Tamandua tetradactyla: one gene and its partner. The protein of the gene in region 2 purifies or fractionates together with the protein of the main gene of each other region. This does not show direct contact. Links are inferred from orthologs where the notes say so. Each region holds a gene or a part of one and is shown on either strand. Other genes may lie near its edges.

Evidence for each region. Proteins that work in one complex are often made in the same cells at the same time.
Region 1: the proteins of TACC3 (region 2) and CKAP5 purify together in Homo sapiens (co-immunoprecipitation; 5 studies listed by BioGRID and IntAct, with this or other methods). This does not show direct contact. The link is inferred for Tamandua tetradactyla from reciprocal best matches to the Homo sapiens genes TACC3 and CKAP5.

Annotation. Positions count from the first base shown.
Region 1 is NC_135334.1:123,573,610-123,581,074, forward strand, and holds the start of CKAP5 (cytoskeleton-associated protein 5), read right to left. Parts: upstream 3,009-7,465; 5' UTR 2,885-3,008; intron 2,196-2,884; exon of another isoform or gene 2,174-2,195; intron 1-2,173. UniProt on the Homo sapiens protein: Binds to the plus end of microtubules and regulates microtubule dynamics and microtubule organization. Acts as a processive microtubule polymerase. Promotes cytoplasmic microtubule nucleation and elongation. Plays a major role in organizing spindle poles.
Region 2 is NC_135345.1:1,404,974-1,412,112, reverse strand, and holds the start of TACC3 (transforming acidic coiled-coil-containing protein 3), read right to left. Parts: upstream 3,019-7,139; 5' UTR 2,858-3,018; intron 873-2,857; 5' UTR 872-872; coding exon 710-871; intron 587-709; coding exon 444-586; intron 1-443. Other genes in the region: TMEM129 (E3 ubiquitin-protein ligase TM129), read left to right, coding at 3,587-3,791, 6,307-6,781. UniProt on the Homo sapiens protein: Plays a role in the microtubule-dependent coupling of the nucleus and the centrosome. Involved in the processes that regulate centrosome-mediated interkinetic nuclear migration (INM) of neural progenitors.

The DNA of each region.
Region 1 (7,465 bases), on a different chromosome or scaffold from region 2:
TAAAAAATGTTAAAAAAGGTGGGGGTGGGGAACCAGATCTCCCCTCACCCAGCTGACACAAATACAAAACTATGTTTTCTAAAAGATTTTCCAAATTAGTCTGCTGATGCTGCTTTAAATCCAAAGACACAGTAACACAGCCAACTGGTTAGTTATATACTGTCCTTTTCACTACAAAGAACACTATACCAGTTTTGAAAAGTTTTGCTCAACAAATATTTTTTGAGCGTTTTCTTCCAGGCATTGTTTAAGGCATTGTGATCACAAGATAGAAAAACCTGTACTATGCTTTCATAGTACTTACGTTCTGTGAGGAAATCACACAGTATATAAGCAAACAATAAATGCTATGAAATAATGGAAAAGGAAAATGAAGAAGAGTGACTAAGATGGCTTCTCTAATTGGGAGATTAGAGAATGCCTCTTTAAAGAGATGACATATAAGTTGAGAGCTGAGTGGAGCCTATAACTTAAAGACAGACTTAGATAGGGGTCCAGTGTAAGTTCCACGCTGAAAACAGCAAATGCGAAGGCAAGTAACATATTCTGCACTCCAGAGGGAAGAATACTAAAATCCCTTAAGAACCTCAAACCTCTTCAACACTGGCCACCAGGAGTCAATGAATCATAATTAGATCAAAACCTCAATTTCACATTCTTTATATTCAGCTCCCCCACTCTCACAGCTGCCCATCTCTCATATTGTGATCAGTGTTATCTTGAACTGCTTGCATCTTCCCTCAAAAAACTACCATGCCCTGTCATTCATTCATATTTCACCACATGTATGATAGAAGTTTAAAAACAAGGGGGGGGAGCATAGCCTTTCTAAGTCTAAATTTCCTTATCTGTAAAATATTGTTACATGGATTAAAAAAGATAAGTATGGCACCCATTCAGCATTCAATAAATGTTAGCTACTGCTGGTTAAAGTATTTGAGCATTTATTTTATTCAAAACCCAGAGGTGGGCTACAGGGATCATAAAAACTAAAATTTGCTACAGTATACTGTTGGAGAGATTAAATTGTGAAATTCTTTTAGGTCTGGAGATTTGTCCTTTTCTGGTTCACCCAGGTATTTCTAGAACCTAGTACAATGTTTGATGTGCAGTAGATACATTAATATCTGTTGACTGACTGAATGAATAAAGGAGACCCCATTAAATTGAGAAAAAAAAAAAAGAATAAACAACCCCAAGATTTAAAACAACACCCAAAGGCATTGTTCAAGATGTTTATTATCTCTAAGAGCTTCCCCCAAACCTAGAATGCTATTTCTAATATTAAGGGTACTTAAATTTACTACAATTAAAACCTTATTTCAAAAATTGAGCTGACAGCTGTAGGTTATCTCTGTGATGGAATTATCAAACCACTGTTCATAATCCAAAGTTGAGGATTCAAATTTTAAAAGAGAATGAAGTATAACATTTATTATTAACAACTGTCTTTGCTTACCACTGCCTAAGTAAAAAGACTTCAAAAACCTGTGTTAATTTTTCTCTCAATACTTTAACTACTAGGTTTAATTTATGCTGGCAACATAAATTGATTTCATTTTTTCTATATTAAGTTTCACAAAAGCAACATTACATTTTGTTTGGTCACTTAAGAAAAGCCCAGATCTTTTATGACTTCGTAAATTTCAAAAGCTTGTTAGCTTAATTATTGGTAATTACTCTTTGGGTCAAAGAAGGACTTTCCAGGGAGATGAAAATGGAGAAAAGAGGAGCTCAACTTTTCTAAAAATGAGTTTCAATTACTATAATTATATATAAGAAATAAGACAGGCAACATTTCTGGGCCAAGATTTGATGCCTTGGTTCCTAAGAGATTAAATTAGAGCCATGCATAAATTTGGAGCAACTTCTGCAAAAGCCACTCACCCTCTGTTACTGATGAATGAGAGAACTAATTAAGATTCACCAACACGACTATGTTTTCCAACACACAGTAGGCACTCTGGCAACGTCACTTTCTACCCCACAAACAAAACGGGGTGCATTTAAATTCCACAATGACCACTACAGCAGGGTAACTAACTCAACAGTGCTAAGGGCTAAAAAGGTAAAAGCCTGGTTTCCCAAACCCCCACCTTGAATCGCAAGGCCTGCTTAGCCTACATCTCTGGCTACTGTAACGCGCCCCCAAACCTCAAAGCTGGACAGCCACCTGAACTCTACCCACGCCTTCCGAAAGGGGATGCCTCGCGGTGCAGAAAGCCCGGCGCGCCAGCGGGGCGGTGACCGACCGAGTCGTTAAAATCGCAGCACACCTCGAGTCGGGGCGGGGGCCCAGGTGCGCGCCAGGCCCCAGCACGGCCGCCCTCGTCACGCTCCGAGGCCACCGGGCCGCTCACAGCCCGCACGGGCTTTCGCTCACTTATTCATTCCTCCGACAGCTACGCGAGGGGCGTTACAGCAGGGCGGGCCGCGGGCCCCCTCGCCCGGCCCCGGAACACCTCGGCGCCGGGCGCGCCCCAGCCTCGGGCGCGCCCCAGCCTCGCCCGCGGCCCCCAGCCGCCGCCCCCGGGCCCCGCCGTGCGCTGGGGCGGCGGACCCCAGCCTCGGCCTCGGCGGCTCGCGCCCCCCGCCCTCCCAGCCGCGAGCGCCCGGGCCTCCGTCCCGCCTCGCCCGCGGCCCCCAGCCGCCGCCCCCGGGCCCCGCCGTGCGCTGGGGCGGCGGACCCCAGCCTCGGCCTCGGCGGCTCGCGCCCCCCGCCCTCCCAGCCGCGGGCGCCCGGGCCTCCGCCCCGCCTCGCCGCTTCAGCAGCGCCGGGCTCGCGGGGCAGGAGAGGCGTGCACCCGTGTCTCGGGGCCCTCCGCGCACGCCGCACTCGGGCCCCGGGCCCTAGACGGGTGGGTGAGGCCCACCGCTCGCTCACCTCCGCCGGGCCAGCACCCTGGGGCCTGCTCGAAGCCGCTCAAAACCGCTTGCGCCGCCGCACACCCCGCAGTGTTCTCGCCATTTATTGGCCCTTGTAGGGCCGCCCCGTACCCTGCTATTGGTCCGTTTGAAAGAGCTGTGGGCACGCGCCGCCTGCAGCCTTAAAGGGGCCGCTAGCCTTCCAGGCGGCCCGCGGTCCCGGGAGGAAGGGCGAAGGGGGCAGGTGGAGCTGTGCATCCCTGGCCGAGGCTTTAATCTCACGTGCTTAAACTGCTGTTTGCACCTGACATTTTTTCCAGTCATTTCATTAACCACATGCTGATTGTGCGGCGAAGTGCTGCGAGGGAAACGGGCAGCTGGGTGCGGCGGGGCATCAGGGCGCGGCGCTGGGACTCGCCTTCTTCTCTGGGATGACAGCCGAGCAAATCTTTCTGGAGCTCATTTTCCTTGTCTGGAAAATGGGGACAAAGAAGCTTTCCTCGCAAATTTAGGGTGAGGATTTAATATAGCTAATTGAAAATAACTGGGAAAGGCCTTGAATAAACTCTTAAACATTCTGCGAATGCTTACTATTCCTGTTTTTAAAATAAGAAGCTTAGATAATTTAAGGAAAGCAATTTGGAACTATATGAATGGAGAGCTGTAGTTATTTAATGAAGCAAGACATTTTTTGATGAAGCATCTATAAAGGGGATGTATTTTTAATCCGGGATTTGAAGAATATGTCGATTACCAACAGGCCGAAAGCTGGAGAGGAGATGGATAAAAGCAAATTAAAACTTTTTTTTTTAAATCTGTCAAGTTGAAATAGATGAAAACAACCTTGGGTTGACAACCATTTGGAGAAATAGACACTCAAACTCACTGATGATGGGAGTATAATTGGTACAAACGTTTAGGAGGACAATTGGCAGATATTAAGATGTAAAATGTATGTAATCTTTGACCCAGTAATACCACTGTTAAGATTTTATCCCACAGGTTAAAGAAAATAGGCAAAGAAAAATGCACACTGCAGTACTGCTTGTGATAGGAAACTACATATCCATCAACAGAGAACTTGTTACCTACATAAATTATAGTTTTTTCATTCAATGGAACACTAAACCACTGTTGAAAAGAATGTGGTGGGTGTGCGAGGGTGGTTCAGTGGTAGAATTCTCCCCTGCCATGAGGGAGACCCAGTGATTCCCCGCCCACGAACTTCCCAAAAGAAACCAACAACAAATGGTGCTACAATAACAGGATACTCACACGGAAAAGGAATGAAATGTGACCCAGCCATACAGCACTAAAAAAAGAATATAGCTAATCTATACATGCTGATATAGAAAAATACACAAATTTTATTAATTGAAAAAGGTACGTTGCAGAAAAGTATATATGGGATGATTTATGTATAGTTATAAATGTATGTGCATTTGTGCACATGTCCAAAATGATTAGAACATTCCTGGAATTGCAAGAAACTTAAAAGGAATGGGACTGAGTTTTTGTTTGTTTGTTTTTGTTTTATCATTGACATGTTACTTTTTTTATTAGAATGGGGAGGGAGAACATGTCTAGTTATAGGAAAAATGCAAGCAAGAGGAGAGACAAGAAAGTGTATTGTATGTAAGGGAATGAACGTGTGGGTTTGATTTTAGAACTGCATTCATGTTGGGAAGTAGAGATTAGGAATGGATCGTGTAATGCCAGAGTAAGGAATGTGTGCTGTTTTTAGTAGGCAATGGGGAGCTATTGAAGGTTTCTGAGCAGGAGTAACAAAATCCAAACCCTACTTTAAAAAATTAATTAGCTTGATTGTCTAAAATGAGTTAGAGCTGGAAAGTGGGAGGCTAATTAGGAGACACATGAACTAATAGCAGTGGCAATGAGAACAGATTAAAGAGATAGTGGAGGATTTGGCAATTGTCTAGATTAGGTACAAAGGTGAAAGTAGTTTTGGTAGATGAGTCAAAAAGAATGCCAGGTTTTGAGTGTAGAGACTGGGAGGGCAGTGATTTCCTAAATGGAAGTGGGAAGTCGGGAGATACCAATTTGTCAGGGAAGGCAAGGAGTCTAGTTTTAGCAATGTTTACTTTTAGGTACCAATGACACGTTCAAATGGAGTTATCTAAGTAGGCCTGAAAAATACAGAATGGGAGCAGGCAGAAGACATTAGGACTCAAGCAATAGAGATTTGAAAATCACCTCCATAGAATGAAAGGCTGAAATTGTGGTAGTGGATGAGACCACAGGTGAAGAGTAGAGGGAGTGAAATTATGGGAGTTGAGAACAGATTCACATGTGGGTAAGGAGACAGAAACCAATTAGAATAAAAAGGTTCCAGTAATCTTCGGGTTGTGAATACAGAGTCTTGTTTAGTCATTGGCCATTGACATGTTTACCGGAACTAACCTGAAGAGTATGCTTAAAGAGAGGGTGATGGGAACCTAGAATTTTGATTGATACAGGATGTGTGGAGGCCAGGTCCTGGAGAGTTTTACATCACAATGCCATAATCCATTTTTGTCTCGGATGGGCTAGGTGTAGTAGCTCTTGTAGGAGGTATGCATTTGATTCGACTTCATTCATTGGTTTATTCATTTGACAAATATTTATTGAGTACCTCATGTGTGCAGGAAATGTTCTAGGCCCTTGAACAGCAAACCAGCCAAATCAAACCAAACCTGAACGATAAACCACCCTCCCCTCGTGGAGCACACACTCAAGTGGGGAAGCAGACAGGCAACAAACAAATAAGTGATATAGCATGTTAGAAGATTATCTGTGCAATGGGAAAAGAAAAAAAAAGAATAAAGCAGGCAGAAAGGAATCAGGAAGTGGAGGTAGGGAAGACTAATTTTTAAAAAGGGTGGTCAGAGCAGGTTTCACTGAGGATGCCTATCAGGAAAGACTTTCAGCCACGACTGCATCTGGGGAAGAAAGTGCCAGCCAGAGGGAACAGCTGTCCAGAGGCCCCGCGGTGGGAACATGCCAGCAGGGTGGAGAAGAGTGAGGCCACTGGAGCCGCAGCGGAGCAGTGGGCAGTCTGCATCAGGAGATGGGTCTGACAGATAAAGTGGGAGGGGGCTGGTAGAGCATGTGGGGCCTTACCCATACTGGGTGTTCAGAGATTGCCTGACCAGTGATCTTTTGCAGTCTAGGATAATCATCAAATAGCATTTATCAATGTATCGATTAGTGTTATGTCTGCCTTCTTTGTTCTAGGGGTCTCCCAAAGGAGAATATTCAGAGGACAGTGAAACCCTTGTGCACGTTAGAGGGCAAAGGGAATACTTTATATTATCGCAACCAGAAGCATGAAGCAAATGCCAGATGTTGTGACTGTGGAATAACCAACCATGCCGGACATTTTTATAAAACCTGCTAGGACTGCGACAGTGCTCAGTCCATCTTCATCAGAAGTGGTATTCTGGTCAAGGCATTGCTGCCTTGGGACAGGAACCTGCCTTTTCAGCCCAGAGAGGAGCAACCTCGATGGAAATCTCCCTTTCAACTTTCAGTTCAGGCATCTCCTGAAGTATGGCCTGGAGATAGCAGTGCTGACATGAGTGCAGATTTCAAGTGACTGGGATTTCCTACCTCCACTCGCCTCCGAGACCGAAAGGCTTACACGAGCGTACATCTGGTTGCATTTAACAAGCGCGACTGAATTCAGGAATGAATACCTTCTCCTTTTGGAGCTTCCCTATCTGTAGCTCCAAGAATGCCGGATGACCAACAACTGTGGCCACAGAAGCATCAGCCTCCCAAAAAGGAAGGTGGTGGAGGGGAGAGATAGGGACCTTGGCAGCAGGCTGTCAACAGGCCTTTACAGGCTGGAAGGAAAACCACTGAGGGCAGGATAAGTGAGAGTACCTGGCGCTTTATGCCCTGTTAAATGGAATAAGCAGATTGTGCGGCTTGGGGCCTTAGGTTTACACTCAGTTAGACCGTCTGGGTCTGTTTTAATACTGTTTCAAGGAGTCCAAAGTTGTGAGCTGGAGCCTTGGCTGGAGAGAAAAGTCTGTCTGTTCCCTGTGCTGAGCTCTCCCTGCCCCTGCCAGCTATTTTAATGGGGAAGCAGTCTGTAAGGAAAATAACTATGGGAGTGAGGGAATGTTTCAAAACAAAGATTGAAACATCCCAATCATACATCCTACTAAATGGGTCAGTGGGGCCATGTTCACATGTGAAGGAAAAAACATAAATATAGACTGTTTCTTTGCCATGAAACAGACGCAACCACGTTTATTTTATCATGTCCTTGAACAGCGATTAGAGAATTAAAGTTTGACTCTTGAATGAGGTGCATTGCACTTAGAATCTCGTCTTATAGATCCTTTTTCTAAGTTCCTATGCAGCGCTTACTTTCTGTCTTCTTCAGGCCCAGATTGGATGAAAGCGTCACTATTCATGCCTCGGAGATCTTTCTACCTTAGGTTTCACAGTTTTTTCAAGGTGCAAAGAAGGACAGTGACTATATATATATATACATATTTTTGGGGGGTGGGGTGGGGTGGGGGGGTTCATGGTCCAGGAATCGAACCCGGTCTCCCACATGAAGGGCGAACATTCTCCCACTGAACCCAGT
Region 2 (7,139 bases):
ACCCCGGGCCGGGCTACAAAGAAGCTTCCTCTGATTAAAATAAACTCAACCCCTCAGGACTCAACTCCAACCCCTAGCTCACTCTTACTTCGCCCAACAGATCATATAAAGCACAGCCCCGCCCCTTTTAAGAATAATGTCTCAGTGTAGACCATGCAAGAATTGAGTCACAAGCAGAGACAGGAGATGAGGAGAAACACAGCTTCCCTGGGGAGAGGCTCAGGACTGCGTAAGGAGTTGGAGAAATGAGAGCAGAGGCCCAGCACCTGGCAAAGACACATCGCAGGAGGAAAGAATGGAATCTGAACTCAATCCAAACACCTGACCGTTAACTTTCCCACAAGTAGAGGGCTTCGGAAGCCCCATACCCGGGCACCGTATAAACACCTGCAAAGGCCCGTCGATGGTGTTAGAGCCACAGCACACAACAGGCCAACACTTACTCATCTCTTTGTGTCCAGTCACGGTGAGAGTTTGCCAATCCAACAGTCTCGTCCAGAGTAAAAGGAGCTTCTAGTTTACTGGTCATACTAGGACTTAAAATCCTGTGTGTCTGTGGATCCCGCAGAGGCGTTTGAAAAGTTACCTACAGGGGAGCGAGAAGGAACACATGCCTGTTAAATGATTCTCGGCCATCAGCAGGACTCGGTGGTAGCAGCATGCCAGCCTGGGGGCACAGGCCACACTCCGTGGGGATGGACTGACTTGCCTTCATAGCTCTGGCTATGCTCTTGGGTGGCACATTTTCTTTCTGTGACAGACGAAGGACAGACGACTTTCCGGTTAGTTCCGGGGGTGAAAAGAGGAAGTCACAAATTTCGGTGGCTTTGTCACAAGTGACGTTTTCATCATTTAAGATCTGCAGACTCATTCTGGAAAAGCAGACCACGCCTCTGTCAGCACGGGGGCAACAAGACTGGTGCAGCACATCCAGACAGGGGTGTGATACAGGTTGTCCCCTTTCTGGGCCAGGCGTGGCTGCCTGCCCAACCCAGCCTCCCACAGCATGTCCTTGGTGAGCTGGGCAGGAGCGCTGGAGGGTCCCCGTCTGGTCTCAGGAGGCCTTGACTCCCACGAGACCGAGAGCCCAGAGGGCCTTCAACCGGAGAGAAGAGGAAGACTGAGCTTGTGGAATCACCTGTGATCCTGGGCTGTTTTGTTAGGTAATAAGTTAGAAGACCAAGTACTGGCCTGGGAGAATATTCACAGCTGAGGCTGCCTTAGTCTCCCCAGAGCCTGACTCAGGTGGTCAAGAAACAGGGTGCAGCCTAGGCTGTGTGGGGTGTGGGGGTTTTGTGTCTCAGCTTAGGGGACAGAGCCCAGGTGTCAAGTCAGCAGAGAAGAGAAATGCTGAACAGTGAGCCATAGTTCGTGCTCCCCTGCCCCTGGCTGGAAAGGGGGGAGGGCAGGCGAGGGTCAGCAGAGGGGCCTGAAGCCCAGGAGGCTGTCCAGAAGGATCTGGTAAATTGCTAAGGAGCCTTGCTAAGGGGCCTCAAGTCAGGTTCAGCAAGTTCCACAATGGGCCTTTGCTGCTCCCAGGCCCTGAGGGCGTTCCTAAGGTAGGTGTTGCTAGAGTTGAGTGTGGTGGTGGAGAAGAGTGGAACCAGAGAAAGGTCCGATGAGGCAGCCACCAGTCCAGAATGCAGGATGGGCTGCATTCTGAAGAACAAGAAGGCCAGGGTGGCTGAGCAGAGGGGCAAGGAGTAGCCTGGAAGCGTGGTTGGAGGAGAGTGGGGTCCACCACGTGGGACATGAGGGGGCATGGGGTCGGGCAATATCACTGCTGGGCTTCAGAAGACCCTTCTGTTACATAGCAGAGGGGCTGTGAGGGGGAAGAGGGAACACAGGCAACCAGAAGCAGTCAAGGTGTCCAGGAGACAAGGCTGGGCCTGGGCTTGGTCAGTGGGTCTACGTGGACACATGAGGGCAGGGAAAAGTCACAGATGATTCTCCGAGTCTAGCCTGGGTTAATGGGTGCGGGGGAGCTGAACTGTGGGGGTGTAGGGAGGGTGTCTGGGGAGCCACAGGGGCATCTGGAACCTGCAGTTAGAAGCTGTGCTAGTCCAGAGAAGTAGTTACTGCGGGGTCCTGTGCCAGCCAGGGACTGGGTCCGGGTGGTGGCCACCACTGGGGATAAAGCTGGAGCGAGGCGAGGCCTGTGGCTGCACCCGGGGGCCGACTGCGTGGAGGTGGGGAAGGGAGAGGTGCAAAGGAGACCCAGAGGAGCGGGGCACCGGTGAAAAGAGCGTTCCGGAGAGGAACAAGCCGGTGGGCTTGGCAGGACAAGGACCGAGACCCGGGTGGGATGCGCCAGCACGCGGTCCGCTGGAGACAAGGTGAGGAAGTGTCTCTGAGACGCGGTGGCAAAAGCCTGATTGGAGCGGGCCAGAGAGCGAGCAGGAGCTGGAGAGGCAGTGCTGGCAGCAGCGACTGGGGAAGCGCTGCCGCAGAGGGGGCCAGAGAAGCGGGCAGGAGCTGGAGGGACGAAGGCTGCTCGCGGGTGGCCGCGCGGGGCCCGCCGCGGGCGGAGAGCAGGTGGGGTCCTCGAGGGAGCAGCGGGGGACGCTCCCCAGCCCCGGCAGGTCCCTCCCACCCCTGCTTCCGCCAGCCGAGTGCGGCCGCGGGCCGGGGGGGGGCGGGTGGGGACCGGAGGGGAGGGTCCAGGTGCCGGGGGGGCCGCGCCTGGGGAGGGGCAGGGCTGTGGGAGCCGCCGCTGCCCAGTCCGCGCTCGCCCACCCCCAGGTCGCCTCAGCCAGCCTGACTCCCCCGAGGTCGCAGGCGGCGGGGCCGACCCGGCAGAGGCCCGGGGCCTGGGAGGGCGTAGACTGGGTCGAGCCGAGGGGCGGCGGCCGCCTACCTGTCCGCCGAGCTCCGGACCCGCCCCGTCGCGGCCGGGAGAAGAGAGGGGAGTACAGGGAGGAGCCGCGCCGCCGCCGGAAACCCACTCAGGCCGCTAAGTCCGCCGCGCCCGCCGATTCAAATACCGACGGTTGACTCCGCGCAGCCAGTCAGAGCGCGCCGGGGGCAGTCAGTAGCCAATGGAAGGCCGCGCCGCGCCGGCCCCGCCCCTCGCGCACGCGTTCCACTTCCGGGCGAGGGGGCGCTTCGATCCTGGGCCGGATGGGGCGGAGACTCGCATGCGCAGCGGACGGGGGCGATCTGGGAGCCGTTTGCTCGGTCTTCAGTTTTCTCAGCTGTGAAATGGGGCCAGTTGTAGCGCCTCTTCCACGGCAGGTCGCGGGGAGGGGCTGCATCCTCGCGGAGAACGTGCGGGCGGCCTGCGCCTTTGGGCCGGGCTCGGGGACTCCGCTTCCCAGAGCGCCCCGCGGCCGGGACTCGGCCTCCCAGAGCGCCCCGCGGCCGGGACTCCGCCTCCCAGAGCGCCCCGCGGCCGGGACTCCGCCTCCCAGAGTGCCCCGCGGCCGGCGGGATCGGAACTCCATTTCCCAGAGCGCCCCGCGACCGGCCAGCGGCGGCCTCGTCCAGCGCTCCGGGCCGGGGCCGGGACGCTCGCGCCTCTTCCCCGCGCCGGGGCCGGAGGTGGGACCGGCGAGCCTCTCTCGAGCGGCTTCCCGGCGGCGGCACGATGGACAGCCCCGAGGTCACCTTCACCCTGGCCTACCTGGTCTTCGCCGTGTGCTTCGTGTTCACGCCCAACGAGTTCCACTCGGCCGGGCTCACCGTGCAGAACCTGCTGTCGGGCTGGCTGGGCAGCGAGGACGCCGCCTTCGTGTCCTACCACCTGCGCCGCACGGCCGCCACGCTGCTGTGCCACTCACTGCTGCCGCTCGGTGAGGCGGGCCGGGGGCCCACGCAGACCCGGGACCCCCCGAGAGCATCCCCACCCGAGAGACACCCCCTCCATCCCCGCCCCACACAGGTCCCTGCTTGAGGTCCCCGCTTGAGGTCCCTATCTGTCTCCACCTAGAACCGCTTCCCCACCCAGATCCCTCTCCCCAGTGAGATCCTCTCAGAGACACCCAGTCCTCGCTGAAGACCCTGTTTCTATCTGATACACCCCATCTCTGCCTGAGACCCATCCTATTGAGGTTCCTGTTTCTGCCCCAGACCGCATCCCACCCCTCCAGACCCCATTCCCGTGGAGACCCCCTTTACGGCCAAGACACTTTGTGCCTACCGAAGCCCCCAGATCCCAACCCCACCGACTCCCGGGCCTGCCTGGCTGCTGTGCCACCAGTCGCTGGGAATGCCCTGAGATGGAGAGTCACTAGCAGGCTCTAGTCCCGGCCATGGTCCAACAGGCACCTCGGGCCACTACGGCCCTTCCAAGTTGAGGTGCTGCTCACCAGTGGGCCCTCTTGGTGGCAGGGTGCTTGGCCTGGGTTGGGGCTGTAACCGCACAACCCCCCAGGGTTCCAGGCACACTGCCCTGGACTGGCTGAGCAGTGTTTGGCCAATTCTGTCGATAGGCTCTGAGTCTTGGGGTCAGCCCTACTCTCCCTGCACAGGTCCTTGGTGTCCTGCTTAGGGTCAGGTCAGCCTGGCCGGTGTGGGGAGGGCGCAGGTTGGGGGCTCAGCCTGCCTGTACCAGTCCTGGGCTGTAGACCTGTACGTTGAGCACATCCTGGGGACACGTTGGGGGGCGGGTACCCAAGGCCCTAACGTGGCTTCACCAGGGTGGCTGTCTCCCTCTTGGGCGTTGGAGTTGGGAGGGCAGCGTGGGGCGGGTGCAGAGGAAGGCGTGAGGCCTGGGGACTCGGAGCCTCGGGTCCTGCGGCTCTCCTGGCTGCCGGTGAAGGCTTGCACGCATAGGGTGGGGGAGGAAGGCCTCAAGTCGTGTCGCTGCGTCCGCTCGTCTTCTTGGCCAGGGCTTGGTCCTCACTGAGGAGGAGTTGGTTGTGCGGCAATCCCGGACAGGACAGCGTTGTGCTGGGTGGAGTGCCCCAGGTCATCCCCCCACGGTGGACCCTGTGCTGGGAGAGGTGGCCGTGCCCCCTAAGAAGCCAGACTCACTGGCCTCAGTCCTTGCGGCAGGGGGAGCAAGTGGGGTCTGCCCTGCAGGGCCCTGCTCCGAGGGCCGGAGAAAGGCATCTGTCTGGCCGGGAGCAGCTGAAGAGCTGCACAGCTTGCAAGTGGCAGAAGCCCCAGCATTGCTGTGGGGAGAGGGTGCTTTGGCCCTGCCTGGGACAGACCGTGAACTGCCGCTGCTGCTGGGGGTCCCATGTGGCCGTGGGCATCTGCTGTTTGTATGTGGGGGCAGTTCCAGGTGAAGGGCTTCTGGGAACCCATAGTACTAGCTGAGTCCATCGGAAGAGTTGGGTTGGAGGGTTCCCTCGAGAAGGTGGAGTTGTTCTTGGCCTTGGAAGATGGGTACAGGGAGAGCAGGCAGAGATGGGGGTTGAGAGATTCCTGGTCCCAGACCGGAAACGCCAGCGTTGTCAGCTGAGGGGACGGGTGGTGCTTGGCAGGGACCCAAGGCAGCCTGGGCCTCCACAAGGCTGCTGCACCAGCCGGGGAAAGGATGGGCCAGAGGGCCAGGGGACTGTGCTGGGGTGCCAGGCAGGGGGCCTCCCGAGACGTGCAGGGTCCAAGGACATGAGCAGAACCAGGTCTGGTGGGAGGTCGAGGCAGGAGTGGGGGACTTGGGAGAACGAGGCTGGGCCGAGAGGGCTCCTGGGTCTGGAGGCAGCAGCAGGGGTGTGTGGGTGCCTGGTAGAAAGGAAGCCCCAGGCTTGCTGCCTCCCACCCCTTTCTGCCCCTGAGTCCCTGTGGGGTGTGTGACCTCCCCCATCCTCAGCCAGACCAGGAGAGAGACACAAAGCAGGAGGCAGCTGGGAGACCGTGCAAACTGGAGCTACACTCCCTCGGCCTGAGCCCCACCTGCCAGATCCTGGGGAGCTCACAGTGCCTGGGCCCTCAGCCTGCTTCTTTGGGGCTCAGGGGTGTGGTCCCCAGAGAGCTCTTTCCCTGGGGAGAGTCGCTGAGGCTCCCAGCAGTTTTCTGGAGCTCATCCTAGCTGGGCCCATGCCAGCCATCGTATTTGGGTGGAAGACGAAGCCAGGCCATCACATTTGTTTTTGCTTTTCTGGATTTCTCTTTTTTCTCTTGTGCTTGGATATTGTTTATGTAAAACTGAAGTAAATTAAAAGCATTTTTTTCTAACTTATCGTGCCGCTGCTGTGAGCAAAGGCTGAGCTAGGCCTGGCCACAGAGGTGAGAGGCAGAGAGGCCCACTGCCCTCAGCCTTGCCCTGGGAGCTGACCAGGGCTGGGCACAGGGACCCCGTAGGAAGGTGGGCATGGCCTGGCCAGCCCTGTACCCGCTGATGCCCGCCTCGTCCTTTAGGCTACTATGTGGGCATGTGCTTTGCTGCTTCAGAGGAGTGGCTGTACGCCCCTGGCCGGGCCCCAGAGGCCTGGAGACTCTTCCTCCTGCTGGCGCTGACCTTGCCTGCTGCGGCCTGCGCTGTGATCTGCCACTGGGCCCGCAACCGCTGGGCCCGGCACCCGCTGGCCTGCACCCTGGCGCTGTACGCTCTCCCGCACTCGGGCTGGCGGGATGTCGCTGCCTCCGTCAACACCGAATTCCGGCGCATCGACAAGTTTGCCACTGGGGCCCCGGGCGCCCGGGTTGTCGTGACGGACACCTGGGTGATGAAGGTGACTACCTACCGGGTCCATGTGGCCCAGCAGCAGGACGTGCACCTGACCGTGACCGGGTCGCGGCAGCATGAGCTCTCACCAGACTCCAACCTGCCCGTGCAGTTCCTCACAATCCGCGTGGCCAGCGCCCACCCCCACGTGAGGGCCTTCGACATCCGGTAAAGCCGCAGGGGTGGGGGCCGGGCAGGGGGATGGGGGTGGGTACGGGGCTCTGGGGCACAGGGGGCCAGGCTGGGGGTGTGTGGGGGAGGCACAGAGTCCTGGGGGCTGGGCAGGAGGGATGTGGGGGAGGCACGGGGCGCTGGGGGCCAGTCTGGGGGGATGTGGGGGAGGCACAGAGTCCTGGGGGCTGGGCAGGGGGGATGTGGGGGAGGCACGGGGCACTGGGGGCCGGGCAGGGGGGATGTGGGGGAGGCACGGGGCACTGGGGGCCGGGCAGGGGGGATGTGGGGGAGGCACAGAGTCCTGGGGGCTGGGCAGGGGGGATATGGGGGAGGCACGGGGCACAGAGGGCCG